Linked DNA regions of Oryza sativa Japonica Group. The protein of the gene in region 1 interacts with the protein of each later gene in a pairwise test. Links are inferred from orthologs where the notes say so. Each region holds a gene or a part of one and is shown on either strand. Other genes may lie near its edges.

Evidence for each region.
Region 2: the proteins of putative protein Brevis radix-like 3 (region 1) and protein GRAVITROPIC IN THE LIGHT 1 interact in binary tests that used the Arabidopsis thaliana proteins (3 or more experiments, as listed by UniProt). The link is inferred for Oryza sativa Japonica Group from reciprocal best matches to the Arabidopsis thaliana genes BRX and GIL1.

The regions. Positions count from the first base shown.
Region 1 is NC_089038.1:30,803,503-30,806,280, forward strand, and holds the end of putative protein Brevis radix-like 3, read right to left. Parts: intron 2,560-2,778; exon of another isoform or gene 2,442-2,559; coding exon of another isoform or gene 2,427-2,441; coding exon 1,969-2,426; intron 1,851-1,968; coding exon 1,706-1,850; intron 1,582-1,705; coding exon 1,124-1,581; intron 961-1,123; coding exon 882-960; 3' UTR 581-881; downstream 1-580. Other genes in the region: uncharacterized protein, read right to left, coding at 1-35. UniProt on the Arabidopsis thaliana protein: Acts as a regulator of cell proliferation and elongation in the root and shoot. Regulates roots architecture and primary root protophloem differentiation.
Region 2 is NC_089037.1:35,647,828-35,651,585, reverse strand, and holds protein GRAVITROPIC IN THE LIGHT 1, read left to right. Parts: upstream 1-1,487; 5' UTR 1,488-1,540; coding exon 1,541-3,022; 3' UTR 3,023-3,233; downstream 3,234-3,758. UniProt on the Arabidopsis thaliana protein: Required for red (R) and far red (FR) light-induced and phytochrome-mediated deregulation of negative gravitropism leading to randomization of hypocotyl growth orientation.

The DNA.
Region 1 (2,778 bases):
ACCTGTGGCGCGGGCTCTTCCTGCGAGGGATCCATCACGTGGACGGCCGATCCATCGGTCGAGGGGCCGGCAAGCGGCGGGGTCGCCGGACTCCGGCGATGGGGAAGGTAGTGCACGTGGAGTCGGGTCGGACTCGGAGGGTGGGTGGGTGGAATTGGGCGCAAGCGGTTGTGGTTTTTCTTGGGCTAAGACAATTTGGGCCGCTCGTGTGGCCGTGTAGAGACCTTCAGCGCAGTAAACTAGTACAAATTTTACCGACGTGGCGTTTATTAGTGTGGCCCATGTACGGCCCACAGGAATTTATTTTTGTGTGGAGGATTGTACAGCTTGTTTGGCAACTTGGACTAAGGAGATCGGGAGGTTATAGGAGAGAATTGTTAGTGAGATTTAATATGAAAATTTGATTTTTAATCCCGCTATTTTGTTGGTAGATGTAGTGGAAAATGATAAGGAGTCCAAATGAAGATCAGATTTAAATGAAAACGAATGACTGACATTATGACATTTGTTTAGACAACGTAAAAGAGAATTCCTCTCAGATTTCATAGCTGAGTATAAAGGAACGGAGGGAGAAATCCGGTAAAGGATTTGACAAGCTTACGAATAAATTGAACCAACGAATATGAAGATTTGCGTTACAAGAAAAATTTAAGCAGCAACCAGGTGAGAACACATCACCACGTTATATATGTTGTCTACACAAAGAGGGACACAGCATCAAAGATACATTTCACTCCTATCCCTACCAACTTTCACTATTTTGTTTTACCTTGCACTGTAACAAGGATAACCGATCAGCAACTAACAGCGGTATCACCTCTCCCTAATCTATCTCCCTTTTTCTCTTGATCTGCTCGACTCATGCATAGATGCATGCCTTGTTACAGATACTGTGCTTGTATTCTGTCTCTGTTGTGCTCCCACCAAACCTTCGCCCTGTCCTCACCAAACCTCTCGCGGCTGCAGAAGCAGAGAATCAATTGAGTACGATTAAGCATGGATCAATCAGAAAGTAGTCCCTAGGCGAGTATATACATGAAATTCTGGTTAGATTTGAAAGATTTGTGTTGGTGACATGGTAAACCTAAGATGTTTTGGCTATCCGTGCGTGATTAGTGTATACCTGAACCGGATGCGGCGGAGCTCGCGGGTGCCGTCGCCGAGCTCGCGGATAGTGAGGCAGACGCCCGGCTCGTCCTGCTCGATCCACTCGGTCGCCTCCATGTCGCTCGCGTTGCTGATGGACACGGAGGCCTCGTCGCGGGACGAGGTGGTCCCCCGCGACGGGTCGTACAACGATGGGACGCCGCCGCCCGCCGCGGACGGGCCGGCCGCAGCGGAGTTGAGCATGTTGAAGTGGTGCGCCCACACGTGGTCGGACGGGTCGGGCACTGCCACCGATGGGTAGCACGCCGCTCTTGTGGAAGCCGCCGCCGCGGCGTAATTAGACGCCGAAGCCGCCATCGCCTTGCACGACATGCTCCTTGCGATCGGCTCTTTGGCCAGCGACGACGACGTCGCCGGCGTCACGACCGGACTCTCCCGGGTCGATCCGCCCCTGGAGCAGAACGATGATTCTCTCTGCATTCATGCACGGTCCAGATTTTTCAGTGAGTTGCATTATTGATCATGCAGATGAAAACAACGTGATGATTTCGAAGTAGCATAGAATGCCCGTGAAATCTTTGAAGGGCGTAGTACCGACCAGAATAGAGTCGTCGACGGAGGACGTGGGAGTGGACACGCCTTGCTGCCGGCCGCTGAACGTCTGCACGTTGTACAGCTCGACGATGCGGTCGTAGTTCTCGCCCCACCAACGCTGCGCCTCCCACTTGTTAAAAATCTCTCGGCTACACACACCAATACGCACGTGCGTGAGAGTTAACTCTGGACAAATCGCTCGCACACAATACGTGCAGAGAATACAATCAACCGTGGAAATGGAGCAGATATGATCAGTGTCAGAACCTGAACCGGATGCGCTTGAGGTCGTTGCCACCGCCGGGGAGCGTGACGAAGGTGATCTGGACGCCGGGCTCCACCTGCGCCGTCCACTCCCTCGGCACGGCATCCTCCACGACGGTGACGTCGTCGGCGCCGGCCTCCTCCTCGATGCTCTGTATCCACGTCGTGCCGCCGGGGCTCCTGCCGGCATCCTGCTGCCACCCTCGGTTGCTCTTGCTCCTGGTCATGTCCCATGTCGCCATCGACGTCGACGCGGCCCGGACGGGCGGCGGCGGCGCCGCTCTCGTGTACATGTAGGCCTCACCTCCAGGCCTGGTCGTCGTCATGAACGCGGAGTCATCGATGAAGCCCGGGTACGGACGGCGGTAGCTCCTGCTCCTGAACGAAGGGCTACCGGCCGTCGCCGCCTTGTAGTGCTGATGCTTGTTGGAGCCGGAGAACTTGAGCACCATGTCCTTGAGCTGGAGACAACACATTGCATCGTAGGAGCCTAGTTAGCTACCACTCAGTCACGCGAGAGTCACTTCGCGAGTGTTATGTGCATCAGCTCTCACTGGAATTACTGGCATAAGTAGCTATCACATCGTATAATATCTGTGATACATTTACATGTGTCAATACTTAGCTTGCTTGGATCAAAAGTAAATAGTTTTTTAATCATGAACATCCATAAACATGTGTATCCATATGTGTGACCTTTAAATTAGGGAAGAGTACCGAGAATGATGCCTGCTGACCGATGACCTCATATGACAAACAGGTTTAAATCAAAAGTGGCCACTGGCTGCTAGCTAGGTCACAAAAAAAAAAAAA
Region 2 (3,758 bases), on another chromosome or scaffold:
TTTAATTTTTATAATAGTAGAGATGGTAAATATCAAATACTATTGTTTCTCTCCGATTCTTTTTGTTGTTGTTCGTGGCTCTCATCTTCTTATTATTCTATTGGATCTACTACTCGTTGGTGCTGCCATCTGATTGGCATGGATGACGATCCAGAGATGTGCTGTTTGTGACGCTCCAATCGCAAGAGGCGAGACCGCGAGAGCAACAAGTACACCATGCGCCGGCGCTCTTCTCTTCTCATCCTGTGTTACTCCAGCCCAGATGTGAGCATGTGGCCCGTGCAGAAAAAGAAAAACAGATGAAAGGCCACGCTAGGGCCGTGCCGGTGAAGGAAAGGAGAGATGGGCTGAGCCAGCTGGTTCGCTAGGGCCGAAAAAGGAGAGAGGAAAAGCGGGCCGTCGAAGAAAGAGATGATTCAGCACATCATTTGTATTTTCTACTAGTGTGCTTTTTTTTTTTGGAAAATATCTGAACGTATTTGGATTTGAATTCAAAAAATTAGTTGGAACTAAGGAAAGATTTTAACGAAAATATCAGGAAATCTATTTTTGTACTTTAACCCCTCTCTCCATCTATTTCTTCTCCTCCTATGGCGTTAGGTGTTGCTACTCGCCATTGTCTCATCACGCTCCGCCTTATCTATGGGGCCTTCCTCGCTGGTACGGTGCTCTATCTGCCGGTGCCCATCATCACCATACTGGGTGAAAACCTACATTCATTCGCATCTGGCTGGTCTGCATGTTTCGCAGAGCAAATGGTCTCGATTAGTACATTACAACAAGTGCTTTTCACGGTTGGAAAGGTCAAAAGAGGTTAAGCTATCCACTTGCCCAGACCAAGCAGGCGTCTGGTAGATGAATGCATTGATCACATGCTCAGCCGCATAATCCGGGCTACCATAACACTAAAGAAAAGAAAGTCATACCACATTATCACAGCTCGTAACATAAAACTTCGGTTGACTCGCACTTTGATCATGGAGACATATGATCAAACTTACAGTGTAGCCTACATATTTACTGCAGTAGTTTGCATCAAGGAAACCGAAGCAATGCCCCTTGCTAACACACTATTCCATTCGTCCCATAAAAAATCAACCTAGTAAAGTGGCACATTCTAGTACAACAAAAAGACATACGTCTGTTTAGATTTGTTATACTGGAATATGTCACATCTAGTCCTAGATTCTTTTTTTTTAAGAACGGAGGGAGTACACTACTACTCCTATGCTGATGTGTGTTGGTACTAGAATGCTGGTTTTAAAGTGGAGATTAGTGGCTCATTAGCATCGTTTGAATGGTGGTTGTTTAGCCGAGGGAATTGGTGGTGAGGTTAAATAGTATTGAGCCTGAGCTTCCCAGCTCACTGCCTTGTCTGCATCTGGCTGACCTCCATGTTTGCGCAGAGCATCTGTCTCCCATTTTGTTCGGGTGTTTGGCTTGGCCTCCCCTCCTCTTAAATTCACACACGCCCCACCTCGTCACTCGTCTCGTCTCGCACAGTCGCAGCTGCTGCGGCTGTTTGCCCATCAATCAAGAAATGGCGAACAAGGCTGTCACCATTGGCGATCTGATCCACCGCGTCGCCACCTCCTGCCTCTCCAACCGCCTCCCCGGCAGCTACGCGGTCAGCGACTCCGGCGACACCGACTTCGACGACGACGACGACGACGACCCCTTCGCTGACGCCATCTCGGGGGCCGGTGGCGAGCGGCGGCGCACTCCCTCTTCTTCCGAGGAGGCGGAGGCGGAGGCGGAGGCTGATGATGAGGGGGAGGATGGTGGTGAGGGTGGGGAGGAGGAGGATGAGGAGAATCTGAAGATCTGGGAGGAGAAGAGGAAGGTGAAGGCGGCGGCGGCGGTGGCGGCGAGTGGGGCTGAGCGGGCGAGGGAGGCGGAGACGCTCATGGCGGAGGTGTTCGACGCGGTCTCCGGCGTGCGCCGCGCGTACTCTGACCTCCAGGGGGCACACTGCCCCTGGGACCCCGACAAGATGCGGAGCGCCGACGCCGCCGTCGTCGCCAAGCTCCGCCACCTCGCGCGGCTCCGCGACCGCTTCCGCCGCTCCGTCGCCACGGGGGGGCACATCCCCGGCCCCATCCCCACCGCGCCGCCGCTCCGCGAGGCCGTCGCGCCGTACGAGGCCGCGCTCGACGACCTCCGCCGCCAGCTCCAAGCCAAGCAGGCCGAGGTCGATGGCCTCAAGGAGAAGCTCGCCGTCGCGAGCAACCGCCGCAACTCACGCCACCACCCCTCCAAGCACAATGCCTCCGGCGGCGGCGGCGGCGCCCCGACCGCGGAGCTGTTCGCCGCCTGCGCCGAGCAGGCCCGCGCCGCGATCCGGGCGTTCGCGGGGCACCTCCTCCAGCTGATGCGCGCGGCGGGGCTTGACCTCGCGGCGGCGACCCGGTCCCTCACCAAGATCCCGGTGTCCTCGCCGCAGCTGGCCAAGCACGCGCTCGAGGCGCACGTCACCCGCGTCCTCCTCGTCGGCTTCGAGCACGAATCCTTCTACCTCGACGGCTCCCTCTCCTCGCTGCTCGACCCCGCCGCGTTCCGGCGGGAGCGGTACACGCAGTTCCGCGACATGCGGGGCATGGAGCCCGCCGAGCTCCTGGGCCTCCTCCCGACCTGCCCCTTCGGCCGCTACGCCGCGAGCAAGTTCGCGGCGCTCCTCCCGCCGCGCGTGGAGCAGGCCGTCCTCGGCGACGGCGAGCACCGGAGGGCGGTGGAGGGCGGCGCGCACCCGCGGACGCCATTCTACGGGGAGTTCCTGCGCGCCGCGAAGGCGGTGTGGATGCTGCACCTGCTGGCGTTCGCGCTCGAGACGCCGCCCAGCCACTTCGAGGCCGGCCGCGGCGCCGAGTTCCACCCGGATTACATGGAGAGCGTCGCCGGCGGGCGCGGCGGCGGCGCCGCCGGCATGGTCGTCGGGTTCGCCGTGGCGCCCGGCTTCCGGCTGGGCAATGGCGCCGTGGTGCGAGCCCGGGTCTACCTCGTGCCGCGCGGTGGCCGACCGTGACAGGATACGCAATGCACGGATCGCCTCTTCCTTAGCTGGAGTAGTTGATTGGTGGAAGCAAGTGTTGTAGTAGTAGCTGCTTAATTACATGTGTAATAGACTTGGATTACTCCAGAAATGAAGGATGAACCATTTAGTCTACTTACTGTTCTATTTAGCATTTTAGCAACCTCTTATCTGAAGTAATCCATGGGTAAGAGAATTGGGTGTATGATCATGTTGTACTATTACTATTATTTAGTCAAAGTAGGGGTTGGTACTGGAGTATTAGCTGGGTCATGTGTACTATCAGTATGATCATCGCAAGATGTGGGCTTGAGTATGATGGATAATTAAGAAGGCACTCTATCATTCAGAAGATGTGGTAGTAGTTGTCACATGACATCAAAGAAGTACTATCCTTAATTGGCATTTATGATGTGTTGCTATTAGTCTGTTAATTGAAGAAGTTGAAGGCTACTAGATCATTCTTGCTGGGCAGAGGACAGGCTAGATCTGTTTAGATAGATTTTCTGCAATTTAAAAACATTAGGCATGGTACACAAGGAAAGAACAGTATGTTGCTCAATGTATATTCATCAAAAGAATGAATTTGTATCTTGTTCAGATCAAGGTATTGTGCCTTTTAAAAGCATGAAAACATGTTGCATGATAGAGCTGTTCAGGTGAAGAAATGCACAGTTTGTCTTTCGCAAACAGATCTCCAGAAACTACAGTAAAAGAAAAGGGGAAGAAG